Linked DNA regions of Arabidopsis thaliana. The protein of the gene in region 1 interacts with the protein of each later gene in a pairwise test. Each region holds a gene or a part of one and is shown on either strand. Other genes may lie near its edges.

What was found.
Region 2: the proteins of ACS5 (region 1) and FEI2 interact in a two-hybrid assay, tested with the Arabidopsis thaliana proteins (one study listed by BioGRID).

Annotation. Positions count from the first base shown.
Region 1 is NC_003076.8:26,330,173-26,334,962, reverse strand, and holds ACS5 (ACC synthase 5), read left to right. Parts: upstream 1-2,150; 5' UTR 2,151-2,264; coding exon 2,265-2,543; intron 2,544-2,647; coding exon 2,648-2,808; intron 2,809-2,894; coding exon 2,895-3,867; 3' UTR 3,868-4,217; downstream 4,218-4,790. UniProt on the Arabidopsis thaliana protein: 1-aminocyclopropane-1-carboxylate synthase (ACS) enzymes catalyze the conversion of S-adenosyl-L-methionine (SAM) into 1-aminocyclopropane-1-carboxylate (ACC), a direct precursor of ethylene.
Region 2 is NC_003071.7:14,960,237-14,967,365, reverse strand, and holds FEI2 (Leucine-rich repeat protein kinase family protein), read left to right. Parts: upstream 1-1,927; 5' UTR 1,928-2,120; exon of another isoform or gene 2,121-2,349; intron 2,350-2,593; 5' UTR 2,594-2,725; coding exon 2,726-2,822; intron 2,823-2,933; coding exon 2,934-3,069; intron 3,070-3,159; coding exon 3,160-3,231; intron 3,232-3,319; coding exon 3,320-3,391; intron 3,392-3,643; coding exon 3,644-3,715; intron 3,716-4,103; coding exon 4,104-4,175; intron 4,176-4,269; coding exon 4,270-4,341; intron 4,342-4,536; coding exon 4,537-4,625; intron 4,626-4,746; coding exon 4,747-4,902; intron 4,903-4,997; coding exon 4,998-5,330; intron 5,331-5,409; coding exon 5,410-5,655; intron 5,656-5,749; coding exon 5,750-5,883; intron 5,884-5,960; coding exon 5,961-6,179; 3' UTR 6,180-6,515; downstream 6,516-7,129. Other genes in the region: MOR1 (ARM repeat superfamily protein), read right to left, coding at 75-180, 376-538; AT2G35615 (Eukaryotic aspartyl protease family protein), read right to left, coding at 6,632-7,129. UniProt on the Arabidopsis thaliana protein: Involved in the signaling pathway that regulates cell wall function, including cellulose biosynthesis, likely via an 1-aminocyclopropane-1-carboxylic acid (ACC)-mediated signal (a precursor of ethylene).

The DNA.
Region 1 (4,790 bases):
AAAAATAATCTGAGAAAATCACAGCGTCTCATTAATTATTAAAAAAGTACTTCAAAAAAGTGGATATACGATTTTGAAATGATAACGATTTCCTGACGTCAGAAAAAATCCTATAACAAACATTAATGTTTTTTTTTGGTTAGTTAAGAGACAATAATATGTTACATCTACCAAAGAATATTCCAGTTAAGTTAGTTAATAGTTGGAGTCAAACTTAAACGAACAACGTCGCCTACAAATCTGGGGGTATAAGTTATAACCAACGGCCACCAACATGGGTTTTGATATCGTCCACCTGATTTTTATGTTAATATAACTCAATTTGATTGATTAAATATTATGCTCTTATACTAATCATTCTAGGTCCAAAACTGAATCACTCATTGCACATCATTTTTATGATTTTTATTTTGAAAATCTCATGTTTCAAGAAATATTTGTGCATTCTACTAGTAGCTTATTTTAAATAAAGTTTCGAGTTTATATAATAAACAATATGTTTATTTCTTTGATTTGTATACATTTTAAAAAAAAAAACAGGATGAAGATATATACAACTAAAGCTCAATTCAACTAGTAGGAAAATTGTATTCTACAAAAAATTTGTGTTTATGTTTTTATTATGATAACCATCCAAACTCATTATTTCACCCATGATCAAAGTAACTATATCAATATATCTGCAACAATATCTGACTCAACATTTATTTTTACATAAACTGCGGACCAACACAATTATGCTAAACTATCATCATTTATTCTATTGGTATTGGAGATCAGTCTACGTCAGTGAATACCGCATAATTCACATGAAACTAACTCCAAAACCCTTTAACCAAAAAAAAAAAAAAACTAATTACAACTCCGGTTAACCTGTCGATAATTACAAGACTGAAAACATCCTAGTCAGTAAAAAACATATTTGTATGTATCCGATCCCACCAAATAAATAAGTTGTTGTCAATGATAGAGGAAGAGAAAACGAAAAAAAATTGCGGACCAAGACATTTGGGACTACTAGAGTTTAGGGAGCATAAATGGTCCTATTTGACTTACCCTCTACCGTATAAATAAATGTATTTTAGCCGTATAAATGTATACATACGTAGATGCATAGGTATACAGGATTACTTTAGACGATTTGATGTCGGTATGACATTACATTTGACTCCCCTAGCTCCACTTGTCTCTGTTCATTTTTCTTGTATGTCATTTCCTTGTTTTCCAATTTTACGTTTACCACCCTATTTTATTTTGTTAATATTTTCTAAGTCAACGTGTTGACACTTAATTACAGAATCTGATAACTAAAGTTACATAAAATGCTCACAGTTTTTTTCAGCAAAATACTCACATTATACGACATATAAAATTTTAGCAGTCTATAAATAGTAATTATTTGGCATTAGTATTGGACAAGAAGTAGAATATAAATTAATGTTGGTTCTTTTTTCTATCCAACTTCACACAGCCAATTTTGTAGCTGACATCGTGAATGGACGACTAAACTAATCATAAGCATAGTGATTCAGTTTATACAACAACAACAAAAAGTTAATTACATTTGAGGTTTCTTTTTAAATTGCTATGTTTGGTCCCTAAATGATGGTCATAATAAGGACGGTCCGGCGGTGACGGAAACGCGTAAAGACTAATCATTTTAGTACTATTAATTTGTAGAATTATTATTAAATATGCTTGAATCCTAGAAAACGATCAAATAAATTTTGGAAAGAAGCTCAAAATGTGTTATTTAATTTTGTCCCTATGTAGAGCTGGTTTTTTTATTTTTATTTAAACATAATCCTAAGATTTATTGCTGTATGTGTGAATGCAATAATAAATAGAAACTCAATAATAGATCATTCTTATTTTCAAAAAGAAACAAGAACTACTGCAATGTTTTAATTGTTTATTTTGTATTAAATAATATAGCTTGTTAATTATTGGAGATCGCATTAAATAATAAAAGAAGTTGTCTCACATGTCTTGGAGAATATTTACTAAAAACTATGGTAATGTCTGGACGGTCAAAAAAGTCTCTCTAGTTTCTGATTCTGTTGTCACATTTTATTTTTGAAATTAAATGTCGTTAGATTATTATTATCTATATATATATATATCCCAACAGACCCATTGCTTCTCCAACCACATCTCACTCTTCACCAACTTAAACCCTAATTCAAGATCTCTTCTTTTCGTTCTCTCCTTCACCCACATTAGTCTTCTCTACGACCAAAATCTCTTGACTTTAAAAACAGAGAATGAAACAGCTTTCGACAAAAGTGACAAGCAATGGTCATGGACAAGACTCATCCTACTTCTTGGGATGGGAAGAGTACGAGAAGAATCCTTATGATGAGATCAAGAACCCTAATGGGATGATCCAGATGGGTCTAGCCGAAAACCAGCTATGTTTCGATCTAATCGAGTCATGGTTAACTAAGAACCCAGACGCGGCAAGTCTCAAGAGGAACGGTCAATCCATTTTCAGAGAGCTTGCTCTATTTCAAGACTATCATGGCATGCCTGAATTCAAAAAAGTAAGCTTCTTTCATTTTTCTCAAATTCAATAAAGAGAGTAACCTGACGTGTATCACAAGTAATGAATCCATTTCTCATGAACATTTTCTGTCATTTTTTACAGGCTATGGCTGAGTTTATGGAAGAGATAAGAGGAAACCGTGTCACGTTCGATCCAAAAAAGATTGTTTTAGCGGCTGGTTCGACATCTGCGAATGAGACTCTCATGTTTTGCCTTGCAGAGCCTGGCGATGCTTTCCTTTTGCCTACTCCTTACTATCCTGGGTAAATTACACTTCTCCTCTTTACTTGGATTCCAAGTAAACCCAATAGAAATATATGCTTACGTCTAGGCTTTTTTATGATTACAGATTTGATAGAGATCTTAAATGGAGAACCGGAGCAGAGATAGTACCCATTCACTGCTCAAGCTCTAATGGCTTCCAAATCACGGAATCAGCTCTGCAACAAGCTTACCAACAAGCCCAGAAACTTGATCTCAAAGTCAAAGGAGTTCTTGTCACGAATCCATCTAACCCACTTGGCACTGCGTTGACCAGACGTGAACTTAACCTTCTCGTTGACTTCATCACTTCCAAGAACATTCATCTCATTAGCGACGAGATCTATTCAGGCACTATGTTCGGGTTTGAACAGTTCATAAGCGTAATGGATGTCTTGAAAGACAAGAAACTCGAAGACACGGAGGTTTCAAAACGAGTCCACGTCGTTTATAGCCTTTCTAAAGATCTGGGACTTCCTGGTTTCCGTGTGGGAGCGATCTACTCCAACGACGAAATGATCGTTTCAGCAGCTACAAAAATGTCAAGTTTTGGTCTTGTTTCTTCTCAGACACAATACCTTCTCTCTGCATTGCTCTCCGACAAGAAGTTCACTAGCCAATACCTCGAAGAGAACCAGAAACGACTCAAGTCCAGACAGAGACGCCTCGTGTCTGGTCTTGAGTCTGCAGGGATTACTTGCCTGAGAAGCAACGCGGGTTTGTTCTGTTGGGTCGACATGAGACACCTTTTGGACACAAACACATTTGAAGCAGAGCTTGACCTCTGGAAAAAGATTGTTTACAACGTGAAACTAAACATATCACCCGGTTCTTCATGTCACTGCACCGAACCGGGTTGGTTTAGGGTTTGTTTCGCTAATATGAGCGAGGACACACTCGATTTGGCCTTGAAGAGGCTCAAAACTTTCGTAGAATCCACAGACTGTGGACGAATGATATCAAGAAGCAGCCATGAAAGGCTCAAGAGTTTGAGGAAGAAGACAGTCTCTAACTGGGTTTTCCGGGTTTCATGGACCGATCGTGTACCTGATGAACGATGAAATTATTCATCTCCCTAAGTTTGAGACGACGAACAAAAGAAAACTTCACGGTTTTTTCTTCTTCTTTATTTCCTTCATTTTTTATATTTTGGGAAAGTATTTTTAATTTTCCAAGATATCTATAATCATATCATTATATATGTAATATTTTTTTTAATGTTTGGGTGAGTCTTTAATTTATGCAATTTTTCGGGTGTAAAATTGTTACTATGTGTTATTATATGTTTTTAATGCACTCAATCCGAATGTGGATTTGCAGTGGCTATATATATAAATAAATATATATCCCGTTGTAATTTTAGTGAAACGTTTGTGTGTATTGTACCCATATATAAAAATGTAATTCACTCTTTTTAGTTTATATATATTTTGTTTTATAAATATGGGTTTCTTTAATTTTATGCTCTATCATTTGGTATAGTTTTTGAGTTTGTTGTGAGAATTCTCCTCTGACTATAAGGCTATAAAGATCGTGTTAACGTTGTTGGTTAAGGACGTTAGTTGAGGCATATCAAAAGGAGGCTTAATTTAATGTCAATTAACTAATTAATTAATCATTATATGGTAATATGGCGGGAATTGTCGAATTGGTCAACTGAGAAAGCAAAAGGGGAAAGTCAAAGGTTTTCCACTTAGGTGAATCAAGAGAGAAGGTATGATCTACTTGTCGAAAATATTCGATGAAGCCTAAATAATTTAGTTAAAAATCGACTAAAACCCATTAACAATTTCGGGGTAAAGGTAGCTTCTAGCGTTCTACGGCAGTAAAGTTTTGAGCTTTGAATAGGTACGTTGCATTGCGTAAGAATGTTCACGTCACATATTTGAACTAAAATTACAAGTTTACAACGAAATCCACATTTTTTTTTTGTATAATCAAAACTTACTCTATCAGGATTAACGTAATTATAAGAAAAAAATGA
Region 2 (7,129 bases), on another chromosome or scaffold:
AACTAATTATTCACATGCAAACGAACACTCCACTCTGCCCATTTCTAAAGCAATAAAAATAAACAACACCATACCTTCCAGCATCTGAATCGGCTGCTCGCAAAAACGCAATCAATGCATCAAGCGCTTTCTCTTGCACCGGCGCATTAGAATCTGCCACCGTCTTCCTAAACAAGTGACCTGCGAATAAAAAATAATAATCAGAAATTCAATCAAAAGTAAAGCAAAATGGAACCCTAGACCAATCACATTCCCACTCAACAATCCAAATTCAAAACAGATCCACACCGATATAAACCACCCTAATCAGATCTGAGCTTCAAAAACAAAAACCCTAACATAATAATAATAAAAAAACGAGGTAGAGAAACTCACCAAAATCGCGAAGACGAGGGTCCTTAGGATCAGTAATCGAATCAAAAACAGAAGCTAAATCGACGTTAGCTTCGTTCCTAACTTTCCAATTCTTATGCCCAAGCCGATCCTCCCAAGGAAGTTTTTTCGCCTCCTTCAATAACTTCTCATCCTCCGTCGACATTACTCCACGAAATTATCTCTCCGACGGTATCGATCTTATCGATCTATACCAAGTTTTTTTTTTCTTCGTACGGTCTCTTGGAAACTTTCTCTCTCTTTTCAAAAAAATTTCTTCGTGTTGTTAGTGCCGGCAAGAGAGAGAGAGAGAAGGACAAAAAAGAAGAGTAGGGTGGAGCGTAATGAGAGAGAGAGAGTGGGGGAATTTTGGTTTCTACGTTTAAATCGGTGGTGTAATTTTTTTGTTAAAAACCCTTCACGCGCGTTTTGATTGGAAATGTTTACACGCGCGATTATTTCAAATCTTAAAACGAGCGTTTTTCTTTTGCTTTCTCCACGTGGAGAGATCGGCATTTTCAAACTATTTTAGGAAATGATTAACAGTACTGAATTTTCCTATTGTTGGTTCTGTAAATATTTTCAAAATATATTTACATTAACAATCTATTAATTTCTAAGAAAATAAAGTAATATTTTGAAATGAATAACTCATTTTTAGTTATAAAAATATTTATTTTAAAAAATCAACAAAATCATGAGTTATTATTACTTACTTATTGGATTATCTTTTCTTCTATAAAATACAAATAAATAGTCATTTTCTATAAAACTAGACACGTAAACCAAAATGGATTTATTAGTTTGATTATGGAAGTTCAAAAACATTGTGTATTTTATGATTTAAAAACTAGTTAAAATTTATTATTTTAATATCCTAAATATTTATGCTAGGATCTGATTTCGCTTTGGATTTTAATATATTTGAAATATCTAATTCAAATTCAGAATACAAATACTCAAATTTCAAACAAACTTTGATTGATAATTAGTACAAGAATATTTAAGCCACACCACACCTTACACCTTTTCCATCTCCATCCTCATGTCTTAGGTGATGTAACTCTCTATCTCCAGATATCTTTTCTTGTCTACTGCTAACACATGAAACAACAACTCAAATTTAAGCCATATTTTTACAATGGTACCAAATTTATAAGAATCATAGATGAAATTACCAAAACAAGAAGTTACGTGGAAAGATTGAATCCAATATTAATATTTTGATTTCTATTATAAAAGCAAATGAAATAATGATTATCAGTCCATTGTTTGTTCCATTTTTAAGTACACTTGTTTGTTTGATTTAGGTGAATAAGATCCGCTAAAGCTGAAAATACAAGAATTGTCCCTAAAGATAGTAAAGTACAGTACGCTTCCAAATAAATAACAATGGGCTTTAGTAGGCCCACGCAATAACGATGTTTTAACTGACCCAACAAGCCCTTGTCCAGTTCTGGCATTATACAATGCGTCGGTCGACACGTGTAATAAGTCATGATCGGCACGTGTGGTCTCCACTTCTCCTCTCTCATTGGTCGTAAACTCGTAACTAGCCGATTCCTTCTCCAAAGTATCTCACATTTCCACTGCACACTCTACTTTCTCTCTCTTCACTCTCTCATAAATCACAACAACAACAAAAAAAAAAAAGTTGTTAGTTAAGACATTGCTTTACAGCTCAATTGCGTCTTCTTCCTCTGTCTTATTCTTCATCTTCATCTTCCTCCTCGCGGATCCATTTTGAGGTTCGTGTAAATTCCCATTCTCTTTCGCCATTTTTTTGGGGGAAGTGAGATTTTGGTCTGAGTTATCGGCGAATCGATTTCGTTTTTTTAGATTATTGAATGGTTTTGTTGACTCTTCAGTTCTTCTTGTGCTGTGATTGCAATGATGTCCTCCGAATTTCGTGATTTAAGTTCGATTTTAGCTATCCGAGCTCCTCTTTAAATAATGAGTTGGGGTTTTATTCTGAAGGTTCGATTTCTGATTTTGCAAATTTGGGAGGTGGATTTGATCCGATTAGATAATCTCACTGTTCTGGGTGCTGTAATTGTTAATGAGACCATGCAAATGTTGTGCATCGATGTTGTGGAACGCTTGATTTGTAATTGAGGATTTGGTTGTCTGATTATTGGAAGATCGAGGCTTGATAGAGTTTCAAATGAGGGTCAGCTGTTATTGTTGTACGGTCTAATGACATTATTTTATTTAACTTCAGGAGTCTCTTTTTGTTTCTTGAAGATAGACTGGGCGTCACGGAGCAGCTGAGTATATGCTACGAGTGTTGCATTCCGGAGGCTGTTCTTTCAGATGATTGGCAGTAGCTATATTATGCTTGAACGGTGCCATAATGGGCATCTGTCTAATGAAGCGCTGCTGCTCATGGTTTCTTTTGATCTCGTTTCTCTCTGCACTAACGAATGAAAATGAAGCAATTAGTCCTGATGGTATACAGCGATATGTGTCTTTAATCTCTTCTATATTTTGTCTTTGACAAGTCATGATCACCATTTACTCCGCCCAGATTGCTGAAGGGATTAAATCCTTTTTTTCTCCAGGTGAGGCGCTTTTGAGTTTTAGAAATGGAGTTTTGGCTTCTGATGGTGTTATTGGTCTGTGGAGACCAGAGGATCCTGATCCATGTAACTGGAAAGGAGTGACCTGTGATGCAAAAACAAAAAGAGTTATAGCCTTGTAAGTTTAAAATTTCTTTAGTTTAAATTCTTTTTTTTTCTTCAGTATGTGGTGCATCTTTTGTCGGTTCCTGAAGTTTCTTGTGTGCAGGAGTCTTACTTATCACAAATTAAGGGGACCTTTACCCCCTGAGCTTGGAAAGCTGGATCAGTTAAGGCTTTTGTATGTGCTCCTAACCTTTTAATTAATATTATTGATGTCTAGCATATGCTCTACTACTCATTGTATGTGTATTCCCATGTCATTGCAGAATGCTTCACAACAATGCGTTATATCAATCAATACCTGCCTCATTGGGAAATTGCACGGCATTAGAGGGAATGTAAGGGCTTTCCCAAATACTTATGCTGATTAGTGTGATTACACTTCATTGCTGATCGAATTCTCGTTTTGTTTTTCCAAATTTTATATTATTTCCTAACAATTACTAGTGTTTTTCTTTATTTGCTTCTATATAGTTGGTGCATAATATTGATGCGTCTTGTGAGTGATGATAAACTCAGTCACAAGTTTAGCTAGTTGACAAGAATCGTTGTGAATCTTTTATAATTTATTGTCCTTTTATTCCTTGCAGATACTTGCAGAATAATTACATCACTGGGACAATCCCAAGTGAAATAGGAAACCTGTCCGGGCTGAAAAACCTGTACGTGGTTTTTTTCCTCGTTCTTCCAAGTGGATTTGTTTTCTTAGCCTCTCTAGGATCTGCTATTTGTTGTTCTGCTATCTACTCTCACCATTTAGTATCCTCTATAATTATATTGTGAACTACAAGAGGTTCTTCTGATCTTCCATGCAGCAACAACATAATGTTTTCGAAAGTACTTATTTCTACAGTCGTGGTGAACCCTAAAAATTATAGGGAGTTTGACATAACTTATATTTAATCACGTATTGTGTTATTTTTTCCGGGTGAAAAACTCTCAAATATGATGATGAGAATTGTAAATCTATGCTAGGCTTCTTTCATATTAAATGGGCATATCATCTACATTCTTCTGAACTACTATGATTTTTGACTCTCATTTATGAAGGGACCTCTCAAACAACAATCTCAATGGAGCTATCCCTGCTTCACTTGGGCAGTTGAAAAGGCTTACTAAATTGTGAGTTGCTAATCTCTAACTTGCGTATTTTATTTTGCAGTCCTGTAGATATATGAGTGTCAATGTTACTAACTATGTTGATCTTCTTTTGAAGCAATGTCTCAAACAATTTCCTGGTGGGAAAAATACCTTCTGACGGCCTACTCGCTAGACTCTCGAGGGACTCGTAAGTATAATTTATATATACCCATTTCCCCAACCAAATTTTTGTAAATTATGGTTGATAAATCTTTCTACGGTTGATCTGGCAAAGCAGTTATAATTTTTTTTGTGACGTTGTGTACGATAGCACCCTGTTACTAGCTTTGCAGCAGTGTAGCTGAAAATAACCAAGTCGTAAACTGTTGAATCACTCTTGCAGCTTCAACGGAAATCGTAACTTGTGTGGAAAACAAATCGATATTGTGTGCAATGACAGTGGAAATTCTACAGCTTCTGGGTCTCCAACAGGTAAAGCAACTGTGTTTTAATCAATTTCTTGTCAGGATATATGGATTATAACTTAATTTTTGAGAAATCTGTAGTATTTGGCGTGAAATGAGTTTGCTTTTTGGTTTCTCCCGTGTTATAGGCCAAGGAGGTAATAACCCTAAAAGGCTGCTTATAAGTGCTTCAGCTACTGTGGGTGGGCTGCTCCTAGTGGCGCTCATGTGTTTCTGGGGATGCTTTCTCTATAAAAAGCTTGGTAGAGTTGAGAGTAAAAGCCTTGTGATAGATGTCGGTGGAGGTGAGCCATGCTGACTCATATTGTAGATATTCTCTCTAAGAGTTATATTTTTCTCTCAAAACTTGACACCATAAGAGACGATTTTTTCTATCCAGGTGCGTCTATAGTGATGTTCCATGGAGATTTGCCCTACGCTTCCAAAGACATTATCAAGAAACTGGAATCTCTTAATGAAGAGCACATAATAGGCTGTGGAGGCTTTGGCACAGTGTACAAGCTGTCTATGGACGATGGCAATGTTTTTGCGCTGAAAAGAATTGTTAAGTTAAATGAAGGTTTTGATCGGTTTTTTGAAAGGGAGCTTGAGATTCTTGGGAGCATCAAACATCGTTACCTTGTGAATCTACGTGGATACTGCAATTCACCCACATCAAAGCTTCTGCTATATGATTACCTTCCTGGTGGTAGCCTTGATGAAGCTCTACATAGTAAACCCTCAACTTCATATTTACGGGTTTCCTTAACGGAGAATTATGATTCTATTAAGTGAAATTTTTGAATGTGTAGAGAGAGGCGAGCAGCTGGATTGGGATTCGCGAGTTAATATCATAATAGGAGCGGCAAAAGGGTTGGCATACTTGCATCATGATTGTTCTCCTAGGATTATACACCGTGATATAAAATCAAGCAACATCTTACTGGATGGAAATCTGGAGGCTCGGGTATCAGACTTTGGGCTTGCCAAGTTGTTAGAGGACGAAGAATCTCATATTACAACCATTGTTGCAGGCACATTCGGTTACTTGGCTCCAGGTACTCAATTACACAGTAATAACAATGCTTATTACTTGTTGTTACTATCTGTTAGGACCTAAATCCGTGAACTCATAATGAGTGTTTTTTGCAGAGTATATGCAAAGCGGTAGAGCGACTGAGAAAACCGATGTTTACAGCTTCGGGGTTTTGGTTCTTGAAGTCTTGAGTGGTAAACTTCCCACGGATGCCTCATTCATCGAGAAAGGCTTTAACATTGTTGGTTGGGTAAGCATAACGAGATCCAGCTTAGATAATAATATTGACTAGTAAAAGCTTAAATTTTGTTTTTTATAATCTTGCAGCTAAACTTCTTAATCAGCGAAAACCGGGCAAAGGAGATTGTTGATCTAAGCTGTGAAGGAGTGGAGAGAGAGAGTCTCGACGCACTTCTATCAATAGCAACAAAGTGTGTGTCGTCAAGTCCAGATGAGCGGCCAACAATGCACAGAGTCGTCCAGTTACTTGAATCCGAAGTTATGACTCCTTGCCCCAGCGACTTCTACGACTCCAGCTCCGATTGATCTCACGTTCACAAAGTCTGTCTGCCTTCTCTTTTCAGAGTTCCTTTTCAGTTTTACAGTACAAAGTTCTCGAGCCATTCATAGTCGGTACCTTTTTTTTTTTTTTTTTTTACTTTGAATTGGTAGATTGGTGACACGCCTCAATTGATCTGATCATGAGATTAAAATGTATATGACCATCCATTGTAGAAACACTGTTCCTAAGAATCTGAATAATTTCTCTATCATAATACTTTCTTGTTTGCTTTCTTAAGTTTTATTATACATGTTGTGTACTTCGGAACTAGTTGAAACCAATCATATAATATCGATGAGAAGATCAATATAGAAAGAAGGTAATTATTTTTACTAGCAAGGATAATTTTTAAGCTTTGATTCTGATTTTACATCTCCATAACAAACAAATGATTATCATGGACAATATAAAATAAGCTCGATACGACGCCGTCAAATCACAAATTCGCAGAGCAATCCATGTGTTGAAACGACACCGTCCTCGTCTCCAAGTCATACCCAACTAGGAAATCCATCTGAGCAAAGTTCCCATAGATGGCAACCTCGGTGGTCGGAACCATACTCAAGCAAACCATGTCTTCACTCAGTTTCACGAATGCGTTGATCGGACTCAGCCTCACATCTGCACCCGTGAAATGCACCGTTATCTCCGGCAAACCGATCTCTGCACTTCCGGATTTGAAACAGTGAGACAAAAGCCCTTGTGGATCACTCACGCGCTTGGCTCCGGTCACTGATTCCTCCACCGCCGAGCTAAATTTGTCAAAGAAACCAGCTTCGAGGAGGGTCAGTGTCGTTCCAGAGTCGATGATGATGTTTCCAGATGTCTCCGAGAGTATTCCGTCGTCGTTTGGGTTATACGAGCTTCCGGTGTAAGGAATCTTTTTCTTCCCGACGGAGATGGCTTCAAGCGTCAAGTAGTAGTAAGTAAGAGG